4 linked regions of the Saccharomyces cerevisiae S288C genome follow. Changing the gene in region 3 together with the main gene of any one other region gives a genetic interaction. Each region holds a gene or a part of one and is shown on either strand. Other genes may lie near its edges.

Region 1 (3,115 bases), on a different chromosome or scaffold from region 3:
ATGATGATGTTAGAGAATTCTTTCTGAAAGCCTTCATATGTTTAATCTTGGATAGAAAGGTTTTTAACGCTATGGAATCGGACCATAGACTGTGTTTTAAGGTCCTGGAATTATTTAATGAGGCACATTTCATAAATTCATATTTCGAAATTGTGGACAAGAACGACTTTTTTTTACATTATAGGCTACTACAAATCTTCCCTCATTTACAAAGCGCCTTGCTCAGGAGACGCTTTAGTGAAAAGCAAGGTCGGACTGAAACTATACAGCAAAATATAATCAAAGAGTTTAACGAATTTTTTGATTGTAAAAACTATAAAAATCTACTATATTTTATTTTAACGATGTATGGCTCGAAATTTATTCCTTTTGGTCCCAAATGTCAAGTAACAGAATATTTCAAAGATTGTATTTTGGATATTTCTAATGAAACGACAAATGATGTTGAAATTTCTATCCTGAAGGGAATATTAAATTTGTTTTCTAAAATCAGGTAACAGTCATGATGACTGAACATTGATCTGTTGATTTGACCAGTTGACTGCTTCCCCTTCCTCTTCCAACTCTTCCATTTCCTTTATGGCAATAGAGGATGGACGGTAAACTTCAACGTCCATTATCAATGGAATCTCAAGGATATCTTTCAATATGGAAAATTGTTGCTTATTTTTGTGGTCCTTAGTAACAATATTTTCTGACTCATATTGGTAATCCTCTATCAAATGGATAACATGGCCCATCCCCATGCTCAACGCGCTCCGCACATTGCTTTCGTTGTCATCAATAAACCAGGCATTTGCAAAGCTCGACAACCCACTTTGCAATTTAGCTGTTTCGAAGAATTTTGGATCTGGCTTGCAAATGAATTCTTCCTCGATGGGTCTGTCGTAGTGGCAATAGGTTATGCCGTCAAATAGATCAGCAATACCTAATATTTTAACACATCTGATGGCATGATTTTTGTACGAGTTTGTAAACAGCCATAGTTTGTCAAATTTGCCGAGCTTCTTTTTCTTTAAATTGATCAGCAGCTCCCTTAACTTCCAATCAGGCTTTAAATAGTCTTGCAAAGGTAAGGAATCATCGATGAATGTATTATATTGTAGGACGTCATCAATTTGTTTATTCTTTATTAAACCTTTCACGGATAATCCATATTCTTGATAATACGATTCGATTAGGCGTTCTGCCTCATCGTCGTCAAACCCCAATTCGTATTTAAAGAAATTTGATAATGATTGTTGCATGAGCAATTGTACCTTCGTAGATTTTCTGTACAAAGTGTTATCGATATCAAAGAAAAATACTTTTCGAGCAGGATCCGGATCCGGTAATTTGGGAGGATCCACCTCGAAATTGATTTGTGAGCCTAGATGTGTCAAGCTTTGCAAATGCTCCTGATTTAGTCGTATCTGCTTTTTGATTTGGTTTCTATAAATTGTTCTGTAATCTTTAGCGATAGTCATGATTACGTGCGTATAAAACTTATGTGTTTTTTATCTACATTAAATCTTTTACCAACTATGCGTTAAACCGAGTTCGTATATACATATATATATATATATATATATAAACATATATTTCTATACATGTACGAATGTATTACATATGCTAAATGTATGTATATACATTATATGCACATCTCCTAATAATGAGCCATTTCAGTATTGCGGCAAATACGGAAAAACCCGCAGAAACGATCGTACAGATCCAAGAACTTGGTTTGTATGTGAAGCACGTTGCTGCCCCCTTTTTTTCTCAACCATCTCCGGCGGCGACCGCCGGCTTTTTTCTTTCTTTTTCTGGAAAAAGAAAAACCCCCTATATCACCTTTGACGTTTACTCACTAAATACGAAATGCATTACCCTAATCTCACTTTAAACGAATGAAAAAAGAAAGGTGAGGGGGGAGACCGATGGAAAAAAAAATAAAAATTTTTTTCTTTTTTTTTTTCTTCGTTCACCTCATCTCAATTAATGGCTTTTCCTTGACGTAGTTCAGGTAACTTGGTAGTGATTCTCTTATAAAAAAAAATATTATCATATTTAACATGTTAGTGCCCGTGTAGTTTTTCTTCTTCTTTCTTAACTTTTTTCTTGCAAAAATTGTTTTCTTCCCCTCAGTGCTACAAACAGTAACTTGACAGAACCAAATATGCCACCAGTATCTGCGTCAAAGGCCAAGAGAGATGCTAAGAAAGCTGAAAGAGAGGCTAAGAAAGCCGCTGCCGGTAAAACCATCAGAAAGCTAGGTAGAAAAAAGGAGGCTGCTGCTGAAGAATCGGAGGTAGATGCAGCCGCTAGAGAAATCAAGATGATGAAGTTGCAACAAGATAAGGATGGTCTTTCAGATCGTGTTGTCACTGGTGTTTTGAGTTCATTGGAGACTTCCCGTGATATCAAGCTATCTTCTGTTTCTTTACTGTTCCACGGTAAAGTTTTGATCCAAGATTCTGGTTTAGAATTAAACTACGGCCGTAGATATGGTCTTCTGGGAGAAAATGGTTGTGGTAAGTCAACATTCTTAAAGGCTCTTGCTACTAGAGAATATCCTATTCCTGAGCATATTGATATTTATTTATTGGACGAACCTGCGGAACCAAGTGAATTGTCGGCCTTGGACTACGTTGTCACTGAAGCTCAACACGAATTGAAAAGAATAGAAGACTTAGTCGAAAAGACTATCTTGGAAGATGGTCCTGAGTCCGAGTTATTAGAGCCTCTATATGAAAGAATGGACTCTTTGGATCCAGACACCTTTGAATCTAGAGCTGCTATCATTTTGATCGGTCTAGGTTTCAACAAGAAGACCATTTTGAAGAAAACCAAAGATATGTCTGGTGGATGGAAAATGCGTGTTGCGTTGGCAAAAGCTCTTTTCGTTAAGCCAACTCTATTATTGTTGGATGATCCTACTGCGCATCTGGATTTGGAAGCTTGTGTTTGGTTAGAAGAATATTTGAAGAGATTTGACAGAACTTTAGTTTTGGTGTCCCACTCTCAAGATTTCTTGAACGGTGTTTGTACCAATATGATTGACATGAGAGCTCAAAAACTAACTGCTTACGGTGGTAACTATGATTCTTATCACAAGACAAGATCCGAATTGGAAACC
Region 2 (3,086 bases), on a different chromosome or scaffold from region 3:
AAACAGCCACATCCTCTAAATGTTGAATCTGATCCTCTGTGGTGAGTTTAGGATCTGGGGGACATAACATTCCTGAACGCATTTTAGCTCTCGCGGCTAGTAATACTTCAGCATCATTCCGGAAAGCTATTCGGGTTGCTCTTAAGCCATGCCTGTATGCATTCAGGGCCTTTGTTCTCGTGCTCATAGTGTGTTAAATTTATATAATTTGTTCTTTTTATTCTCTTCAGTGAAACGCAAGCGTACCGAAAAATATAAGGAAGTCTTTTAGTCCTATCCTTTTCTCTTCCTCTCTTTCCTTTGTAGTAGGTTCACTTATTCAAACGTTTAATTTTTCGGCATTACTCACTTTAGTAAGACCAAAATTAATTAGGCTAATATAGCGAAGTACCTGTCAAAATGCGATCTATGATAAAAGCATGATGTGACGAATATCTAAAAAGGAATAAAGACTTTTTTTGCATTTAATTATTTTCTAACCTTAGATATATAATGTTATTTATTTGATTTTGTAGTAGTTGTAGGCCCATCAAGGGTGGATATGAGAATGCATTAATTTGTAAGAATCGATAATGGCTTTCAAGTGGCATACAGAACCAAGAACCACCATAATATGAAATATTTGATGAGAGCTACCGAAGAAATCGAACTTCCCTGGAGCCAAAGTTTCAGGAATCCTAAACCCGTAGATTACAGCCCCTGAAATGTAAAAGAGAGCTTCCCAAAACACAAAGCTGACTTTTATTCTGTTAAGAACCCCTTGGATACCGAACTTGAAAAACCCTGTGGTCAATGGGAGTAAGCCACTAAATCCAAACAATATGAAAAACATGGCCCTAAATGGACGAAATGTGGAAGTGTTAAACTTGTCGTGGAGGACACAGACTGTACAAAATGTTGCCAGGACTAAAGTAACAATCGTGAAAAGACTGAAGTAGGATATGTGGTCGAAGTAACCAAAGTATATTATAGGGATCATAGAACAGGAAATCAAACTGATAATCCCCAAGTAGTCGAGCTTGCTCCAGAAATTGCTTTGCTTTTCAGAGTGTTGCTTCATGCAGTGGAAACAGCTACTGCACATGAGACATGAGAAAGCGCCCATCAAGAAAATGTTTATAACGGTGTAATCGGACCAGGAAGTGGAGGGGAAAACGGGAATTAGAAAGTAGTTGGTCAACGTAATGGCAAACACGAAGTATACGATAGCCGGTACCAAATGTGTATAAATGTTCACAGTCTCGTTGTTCCAATAAAATAAAGAATATAAGCACTTTTTCCATGACAGTGTTTCACGAACGTACCCGGTGAGAATTTTGTCATTATCTTTTTGCCATTCTGGCAACTCATCGAAATTGTGTAGCAGTTTTTGCTTTTCAAAAACTGTCTGGCCTGAGACAGCTTCCACCTTAATGGAGGCTCTCGTTGCCTTGCAGCAGACACTATCTTGGTTTCTTCTTCTAGTAGTGGTGATACTCATTTTTTTTCTTCTTTTATCTTGCTTGACTCAATTAAGGCGACTAATAACAAAACGAATGACGAAAATGGAAAACAATAGAAAAGTTAGGAACCAGAATCACTTTTGTAAAGTTAATATTGCGCTTGCGGAGCTCCTTACTGTTTCAACTGATGATACTGATATGCCTTTAGAAAAGAAATCAAATTCTATTAACAGAAGGGTGCCAACATGTACGTATATATATATGTGTGCGTGTGTATATATGTCTGACATATACATGAGTAACCGGCTAAGTAAGGTTTTTACGTTGATTGCTGCATCCATCGGTCGTGAGTATTGTCAAATTGCCGATGCCCTGCAGGCAAAAAAACCGTTGAAAAATCGTTGGGAAAATGGGCTTGCCCGACTGTCGGATTTAAGGGCTTGGACCCTAAAGGTTGCATGATAAGACCTACTTATTTTAGCATATAACCCTATAAAGGTGAAAATCTCAGTAGGGTTATTTTCGTTTAAGGGAGCATGAAAAATTCAAGTTAGTACATATTAATGGCTTTGAGATATTGCGGAGTGACAACAAGAGTAATACAGAGCAGGCGAGAAAGTAACGCTGGACAGTCACTATCTGGTACAACTTGCGCACGTGTACTTGCTTGAATACTGCTACTATATCATTAATATGGGAAATAGGTCTTTGACAGAGGCAGACCACGCCCTGCTGTCCAAGCCCTTGGTACCGACATCTGCGGAACATACACAAACGCAAGAGTATCCTCGTCCTTTCGTAGATGGCAGCAATTCTCAGAGCGGGTCTGAACTACAGGCTTCTCCACAAGGTCAGTTTGGAGAAAAGGCATTGACTAGTACTAATCGCTTCATTCCCCTGGCAAATGATGACCCGGGTATGCAGCACGAGATGGGTCTTGATCCCTCAATGAGGCGTAGAAGAGAAGAATGGGCAGAACGTGGTGCGGCAAAAATCGTCAAAGATGTTGTCGACCCAGCTACGGGGGAGTTAACTAAGCATGTTGTCAAGATGGGAATAAAGGACTTCAAGTTTGGAGAGCAACTCGGGGATGGATCATATTCTAGTGTTGTTCTGGCTACCGCCCGTGATTCGGGCAAGAAATATGCAGTAAAAGTGTTGAGTAAAGAATATCTGATCCGTCAAAAAAAAGTTAAATACGTCACAGTGGAGAAATTGGCTTTGCAGAAGCTGAATGGCACCAAGGGCATATTCAAGCTTTTCTTCACTTTCCAGGACGAGGCAAGCTTGTATTTCCTTCTAGAATATGCCCCCCACGGTGATTTCTTGGGCTTGATTAAGAAATATGGATCTTTAAACGAGACATGTGCACGCTATTATGCGTCGCAGATCATCGATGCCGTTGACTCCTTGCATAATATCGGCATTATTCACAGGGATATCAAGCCCGAAAACATATTGCTCGACAAAAATATGAAAGTGAAGTTGACGGATTTTGGTACAGCCAAAATTTTACCGGAGGAACCTTCGAACACCGCAGATGGCAAGCCTTATTTCGATTTGTATGCTAAGTCGAAATCATTTGTTGGTACCGCAGAATATGTTTCTCCTGAGCTACTGAATGATAATTATACAGATTCCCGT
Region 3 (2,935 bases):
CACTTCCAGAGCGGCTACTACCCTTGGTTGGTTCAGGAGAGGTAGAACCTTTCCTTTTCAAGTACTCGTTGCTACCTTGTGAGGATCCTGGTTTTGGACATAACCCACCAACGTGCTCCGTATTTATGGCTTTATTCGAAGAGTTGGTGGAGAAGGCTTCTTGCTTGAGGGCCTTCTCCTGCTGTCTGTTCCAATGTGCTTCCTCTCTTCTATCCTTTTGGTCATCCGTTTGAGAAGCATAATAGGAATTTAGTGCTTCATTTAAATCTCCAAATTCAGAGAGATATTGAACGGCTATGTTATGCGACACATTGGTCAATGCCATGAACTGCTGGATGGTTTCATCAGGTATTTCCGCCATACCTAAATAATGAGTTAATTGTTGTGCTACCGACGTTTCTTATATATTTAAATCGAAATATGTTAAGCATACAACTATTAAACCCCTTCCGTTCTTTATTGCCATCGATTTTCGCCACCAATAAGAGTTCTAATGCGGGTAACACATATAAGTAGTGGAATATATTATTGAAACTACTACTATGGTATAACACTATTTACAAAGAGATGAATTGTGTGTCTTAACTAAGCTGTCCACTACTTGCTGGCTTCTTTTATCCAGAGGCATGTTTGTCACTACAAATTCGTTGTTGGCACGCCTTTCCAGACGTTGCTTTAGTTCCTGAAATGATGAAACATCCCAGCTCCAACATGTCCCTGTGATGCCCATACCAAATATACCTAGTGTCATGCCCGTTGCCGCTAAAAGAGAACCTGCAAGACTCTTTTGTGTGTGTGTTATTGTCTGCGTCCGGCTGGCGTAGTTTGCTTGAAAAGTGTTCAATGGCACTATGTAAATAAGTTATGTTAGTAAACGTGTTCTTTGAGTATGAGGCCGAAGTTATTGCCTATGCATACCTTTTGCAGTTATCATTTTCTTCATGGCAATTCTACATGTTATAAGTGTAAAAATAGTGATTCCGAAGAATCGTGTCATCTGAGTTTTCCTCCTCTTTTTATAGTCGTCTATAAAATGTGTGACTTCCTCACTACTGATTTTGGGCTTGTCGTTTCTGCTCACTAACATTATTGTTGGCCAGTCCTTTATTTCGAATTTTCTTCTTGTGTTTACATTATGTTTCAATTCGCATATTACATTAATAGAGAAAGACCTATTAAAAAATCGCTGCGCGTCCAATAACATTCACTGATTTACAAGTGCAGTTGAACAAAAGCAAGATAAGACAAGTACTACAACATGCATCCACAGTTAGAAGCTGAACGTTTTCATTGTAAGTATCCAGATTTTACTTCATATATTTGCCTTTTTCTGTGCTCCGACTTACTAACATTGTATTCTCCCCTTCTTCATTTTAGCCTGTTTGGACTTCATCAATGCACTCGATAAATGCCATCAAAAGGAATATTACAAGAGAATATTTGGCCTTTGTAACAACGAAAAGGATGCTTTGAACAAGTGTCTCAAGGAGGCAAGTTTGAATAACAAGAAACGTGCTGTCATTGAAAGTAGAATAAAGAGAGCTGATGTAGAAAAGAGATGGAAGAAAATTGAGGAAGAAGAATATGGCGAGGACGCTATATTAAAGACTATCTTAGATAGACAGTACGCCAAGAAAAAGCAGGAAAGTGACAATGATGCGAACTCGAAATAAAAGCTTTTTTTCTGTCGCTACTTCATTCACACAAATCATCTCAATATCCCTTGTAAATAAAAGGCAGAGTACAGTTTTCAAGTTTATATTTCTTCAGCGCAGTCTTTATATTTATATCTTTAAATATACTTAGAACTGAACAGAACCCATGGCTTTTTGCAAAGCTTTCAAGTAGCTCAGTCGTTTCTTATATTGATTATTCATATACAAATATCTCGAATTCCAATTATTCATGACTGCTTCAAAATAGTTATCGTCAAAGCTCCAAATTTCGACCAGCTTATCCTTTATTTCGTTATGTTTATCTATCCATATACCAAGCTGTCTGGTGAAGTTCATCAATTCCTTTAGCCTTTCTTTTAGTTCGACCATCTCTACATCTTTCGCATCTTCGTATAGTAGCTCTAGCCCCAATAGTGGCTTCCATTCACTTACAACAATATTTTTAAGATTGAGGGAAGCGTGCTCTGTCAAGATCTTGTCACTCCATCCATATTCTGCGTTAGATACGGCTTCGAATTGTGTTAAAGGAACTGGAGAAATCCTACCTGCCCAGAAGTTGATACAGTCCATAAACTTGTGGGCTTCTTCAACACTTCTCGTCTGGAACTCCAGAACAAGCTTTGGTCCGTTGATATTCTCTGGAAAACTAACGGTAAAGTTGCCACTTTTCCTCTTGGTGTTTTTGTTACACACATTTGATTTCATTGCTCCACTACCTATAATTATATTATCTTGCACGACATGTGCTTCAGCTTCAAGCAGTGAGTAAGCAAAATAAGAGCTACTGATATCTTTGAAATAGTCGATGGTAGCACTGTCTGTTTCACTTGATTGGATGATATCCTTAACATCTGGTTTAATTTTGAAAATAAAAATTCTGCCCTCCTTGACCTGTATTTTCACCCTCTCCCATTCAGAATCCTTATTCAAATACGATAAAGAAGTCCTTCTAGATGTGTGCTCAATAAGTGTAGTCGTTTTAGATGGTTTTAGCCATCCGAAGAACGATTTGTTTCTCTTAGAGGTCATTTTTGGTGCCGCCACTTGATCTTTGTCTCTTTTAGAATATTTACGTGGTAAAGATTTCTTGCTTATAAGAATTAAATCGTCCATGAACCAACTGGAGCCGTTTTCGGTAATTAAACCGTCATCAAAAGACTCTTTAAGGTAGAGTGCATCCATGGGGTGATTATTGTGAAAGTTTTTATTTGATTTTGCGCTCATTTCTCGTACAGATACTTGACCATCTCTTGAATATA
Region 4 (4,918 bases), on a different chromosome or scaffold from region 3:
AGATCTAAATTTTGATCTTACAATTCGCCCAATTACAGGACATCTTGGAAGAAGCAGCATTTGCAGGTTGGAGTGGAATCTATCAACAACGATATACTTACGTTGCTCTGTCGCAATTTTCGAAATTGTACTCTTTGCTGTGCTGATTGCTTTGTTTGCGATTATTAATGTAGAAAGTCATCGGAAAGCCCTCGCGCTCTTTCCCAGTGAAATTTCACGTGATGTAATCTGATGAAGGGCACGTATAGGTCAGTGACCTTTGCTGTGCAAATTGGGTAAGGTAATTTCTTTTAAAGACTTTAAGAATGGTAAAGTGAGGTACAACAACATATTATAAGACTTACTTGGTATGTACCTTACCTTCCTTAGATATTTTTCATGCTGCGTAGAAAATTGCACCATCTCCAATCGTCACTTTTATACATTTTCAAAAGAATATAGATGAGTATAGCAATATAGGGTTTACACATATGTACAGAAAAGCAGAATAGTAAGTTTTGTTTCATCACTTAGATAGGTTTTTAATTTCTTCTTCACATTTGGTAATGACTGCATTACTGGCATTGATTTTACCGGATAAATAGTCCAATCTGGTCTTGAAAAGTTTCTGATCAGGAACTTTCCCCAAAGGTTTTAATTCTTCTTCCCATTTCTTGATTCTACCAGTTTCAAAACCCACAACCTTTAATAAGTAACGGGTTTTTAGCACTTTTGCGAGTTCAGGATCGTTGATCAAGTATGTGAATGCTGCCCTGTATAGCGGTTTGGCAGGCCTGATTTCCTGTAAAACACCCCTATCTCTAGATACAGTTATTAAACCATTATTCTCCAATTCCATGATTCCCGTTTCTGGTGCGGCTTTGAATAATGGCTTGTTAACGATTTCATGGAATGGAATGACTGGGTTCGCACTCAATAATTCGATTAATTCCCAGGCTTGTGCACTTTTATTGCTGTCAATCTTGTCACTTAAAAACATTTGAGTTATTTGCTCAGAAGCCTGTTCAATCATTTTGTCTACTGCTTCCGAGGGCTCTTCTCCTGACTTTACCCTTCTTACAAATGCCTGTAAGTCTAACATCCTACCACCCAATGGCTCTAAAGAAGCGTCAATTTCCTGTAATTCCTTTTCATTTAAAATAACCTCAGCTTTTTTGACACTCGTATCGGCCTCACTATCAGAATCATTATTTTCAGCAGTTTCCTTTTCTGATTCAGGTTCTTTTACGTTTTCACCCTTGGATTTTTTATTGTAATATAAGTAATCCTCCAATTGGGATAATACATAGTTCCTCGAATTCTCTTTTGAGGCATCTGATAGGATTAGGTTTTTGAAGACTTGATTGGGTAGTGATTCGCTCAATCTTTGGTTGGATGCAACGGTTTCCGTTAAGAAAATCACATGAGCAATATTCATTTGAACTAGCATAGCTGCCCAATCGGATAGTTCCTTATACACAAATCCATTTATTTCCGACTTGCCCTCAAACCTATCTATGACGATAACGGGTTTAGCTTCCGGATGTTGCTGTAGGTAATCTTCTTCCTTAACATTAACTGTCCCATCACCGGTGGAAACAAAAGCCTTGTAATTCTTGAGAGCAATACGTCTAATGGACATCAATGAGGTAGTTAACATGTTTCTAAACCGAGATTCCTTCGTCTCAGACAACCCAGTTTTTTGCCCTGTTAATCCTTGCACTGTTAAATCAAGGACACCTGTGACAGAGTCAATCCATGGGAATATTGGGAAATAACCCAATTGACTAGCGGCATTTTTTAAAAACATAGGATCTGTTCTGGACTTAATCAATTTATCACAATCCAAATACAAAACATTTGCTCTATTTTGCAAAGTGTGTTGCATGACCAAATCATGTTTCCCTGAACCTCTAGGCCCCCTTATAACCACAAAAGTATTATTATTTTCTTCAAGCCACATTTTCAGGTCATTCACTTTCTCTATTCTTTCCTCCCATAAATGCTTTCTTTGGTGATTATCATCAGGGCCGCCCCAGTAGTACTTGATAGAAGTCATGGTAGATGAGGTTAGCGTTTTCAGTTGTTTCCAAAACTTATTGTCCCACGATAAAGAATATTTGTGAGTGATCTTCTGTTCAATCGAAAATTCTCTTATAGGATCAAACACTAAAACAGCAAAGATTGAAAGTAGCGCAAATAAAACTGGAATAGCAATCCTTGTATGGTTGGTGAAAAAATTACTAACTAGATGGCCTCTTCTGATATTTTCGTATTGTATGTGTAAGACGGTATTATGAATTTCGATACCGGAAACACAATTCTTGGCAGAAATGGCACCACGGAATGAACGGTATCTTACCTTTGCCACATTGTTGTTAGCAGCAGTGGGAGGGAAAATATCAATAATTGTCCCATATCTTCTGAATAAAGAGTATATTTCTTCTTCTGTTAAGGCGGGCCCTTGGAACTTGATGACTATAGTGGTACTTGGTAGTCTTCTTAAATCCTCAATCCAAGGCGAACCCTTTACTGGGAAGGCAGAAGCTCGAGTGAAGTACGAGAGTAAGTTTTTAGAGGATTCTCTGGCTGTATTCTGTTGGATTAGAGAATTTACCTGAGCTTTTGTATACTTGGGTGGAACGACAAATGTGGCAAATACACCACCATCCCTTTTCACTGGAATGGTAGACTTCAACTCCAGTCCATAAATGGGGTTATTGGGTGGACTGGCTAAATTCCTTATTTTCTCCCTCACTGCATCCCGTGACTGGTTTCTTAGCAGGAGATTGTACCACAGTGTTGGATTCCAAACCGAGGTGGTTCTAGCGTAAACATTATCGAAATATATCAGAGTTTCTTCATCTGATTTGTGAATAACACCAGTATCGGTGGCGGTGTTTGACTCTCCTGCCTGCTGATCCTTTTGCTGGATCTCGCTCGACACATGTCTCACTGAGGGTTGGGCATTCATCAGGTTCGCTAGTCTATATTTGCCCTTGAGGATGCCTATTCCTCTGGCGAGGCATGGCACTGGCATCCTTGACACATTCAGGGAAGTCGTTCGTACTAGCAACATGGTTTACTTTTACAAATACTACTTCCTGTATAGGCCCGCTATATTTTGGTTTTAGATCCTGTCAATACTGAGTTCATCTTTCATTTTCTCAATATAACATTACCGTTATCTCCCTTATACTTCTCAAATTCCCATCTACGGAACCCTGATCAAGCCCTGAGAAACTATATGAGGGTGTGTACATTGCAGTGCATCATTTGTGAGGGTTCAATAATTGAAATTATAGGGTGGACGTCAAGACGAAAAGTGAAAAATTACATCCGTATAGAATTATATAACTTGATGAGATGAGATGAGTAAATGACAGAAGAATTACCGTTTCATCATTGAACTTCGATCATTTCAATGCTGGCATGCGAAGGAAAATGAGAAATATCGAGGGAGACGATTCAGAGGAGCAGGACAAACTATAACCGACTGTTTGTTGGAGGATGCCGTACATAACGAACACTGCTGAAGCTACCATGTCTACAGTTTAGAGGAATGGGTACAACTCACAGGCGAGGGATGGTGTTCACTCGTGCTAGCAAACGCGGTGGGAGCAAAAAGTAGAATATTATCTTTTATTCGTGAAACTTCGAACACTGTCATCTAAAGATGCTATATACTAATATAGGCATACTTGATAATGAAAACTATAAATCGTAAAGACATAAGAGATCCGCTTATTTAGAAGTGTCAACAACGTATCTACCAGCAATTTGGCCCTTCTCCATCTTTTCGTAAATTTCTGGTAAACTGGATAAGCCAACTACCTTTATTGGAGACTTGACTAGACCTCTGGCAAAGAAATCTAAGGCTTCTCTGGTATCAGCTCTGTTCCCCACGTAAGAGCCGACAATGGAGATAGACTTGACAACGTGGTTGAAGACATCAGAGGAGCACTTTGCACCGGCTGGCAAACCAACCAAGACAACAGTACCGTTCGCCCTACAGTATCTGGTAGAAGCTTCGATAGCGGCTTCGGAAACGGAAACATTGATGATACCGTGGGCACCGCCGTTGGTAGCCTTAACGACTGCGCTAACAATGTCCTTCTCTTTGGTGAAGTCGATGAATACTTCACCACCGAGCGAGGTAAACAATTCTTCCTTTCCTGGACCACCATCAATACCTAAGACTCTGTAACCCATCGCCTTAGCATATTGAACAGCCAAAGAACCTAGACCACCAGCAGCACCAGAAATGGCCGCCCAGTGGCCTGCTCTCAAGTTGGCAGACTTCAAAGCCTTGTATACGGTGATACCAGCACACAAGATTGGCGCGACTTCAGCCAAGTCAGTACCTTGAGGAATGTGAGCGGCTTGAACAGCGTCAGCGGTAGCGTATTCTTGGAAAGAACCGTCGTGGGTGTAACCAGACAAGTCAGCGTGAGGACAGTTGGATTCGTTACCCAATTCACAGTATTCACAGGCCATACAAGAACCGTTCAACCATTTGATACCGGCGTAGTCACCGATCTTCCAGCCCTTAACGTTTTCACCCATGCCGACAACGACACCGGCACCTTCGTGACCACCAACTAATGGTAACTTAGTTGGCAATGGCCAGTCACCATGCCAAGCGTGCAAATCGGTGTGGCAGACACCAGAGTACTTGACGTTGATTAACAATTCGTTGGGCTTTGGCTTTGGAACTGGGATATCCTTATGCTCCAACTTGCCGTTGGATTCGTAGAAGATAATGGCTTTTTGAGTTTCTGGAATAGACATTGTGTATTACGATATAGTTAATAGTTGATAGTTGATTGTATGCTTTTTGTAGCTTGATATTCTATTTACCAAGAAGAAACAAGAAGTGATAAAAACAACAAGAGAGCAGTAGTAAGAGTATTTCGAGTGTGAAAAAAGTCGCTACTGG

What was found.
Region 1: mutations in IAI11 (region 3) and PHM8 together harm fitness more than expected from each alone (negative genetic interaction), as found in Saccharomyces cerevisiae (2 studies listed by BioGRID).
Region 2: mutations in IAI11 (region 3) and IZH1 together harm fitness more than expected from each alone (negative genetic interaction), as found in Saccharomyces cerevisiae (2 studies listed by BioGRID).
Region 4: mutations in IAI11 (region 3) and YME2 together harm fitness more than expected from each alone (negative genetic interaction), as found in Saccharomyces cerevisiae (2 studies listed by BioGRID).

Annotation. Positions count from the first base shown.
Region 1 is NC_001137.3:224,240-227,354, reverse strand, and holds PHM8 (bifunctional nucleotidase/lysophosphatidic acid phosphatase), read right to left. Parts: upstream 1,467-3,115; coding exon 501-1,466; downstream 1-500. Other genes in the region: Smc5-Smc6 complex subunit KRE29, read left to right, coding at 1-497; ATP-binding cassette family ATPase ARB1, read left to right, coding at 2,156-3,115. UniProt on the Saccharomyces cerevisiae protein: May be involved in phosphate metabolism.
Region 2 is NC_001136.10:1,433,318-1,436,403, reverse strand, and holds IZH1 (PAQR-type receptor), read right to left. Parts: upstream 1,481-3,086; coding exon 530-1,480; downstream 1-529. Other genes in the region: MZM1 (Mzm1p), read right to left, coding at 1-187; serine/threonine protein kinase PKH1, read left to right, coding at 2,136-3,086.
Region 3 is NC_001134.8:108,863-111,797, reverse strand, and holds IAI11 (Iai11p), read right to left. Parts: upstream 1,205-2,935; coding exon 919-1,204; intron 850-918; coding exon 554-849; downstream 1-553. Other genes in the region: protein phosphatase regulator SHP1, read right to left, coding at 1-361; CMC2 (Cmc2p), read left to right, coding at 1,259-1,292, 1,378-1,673; Arf family guanine nucleotide exchange factor YEL1, read right to left, coding at 1,803-2,935.
Region 4 is NC_001145.3:869,568-874,485, forward strand, and holds YME2 (Yme2p), read right to left. Parts: upstream 3,059-4,918; coding exon 506-3,058; downstream 1-505. Other genes in the region: ATP-binding cassette Fe/S cluster precursor transporter ATM1, read right to left, coding at 1-60; alcohol dehydrogenase ADH2, read right to left, coding at 3,724-4,770. UniProt on the Saccharomyces cerevisiae protein: Plays a role in maintaining the mitochondrial genome and in controlling the mtDNA escape. Involved in the regulation of mtDNA nucleotide structure and number. May have a dispensable role in early maturation of pre-rRNA.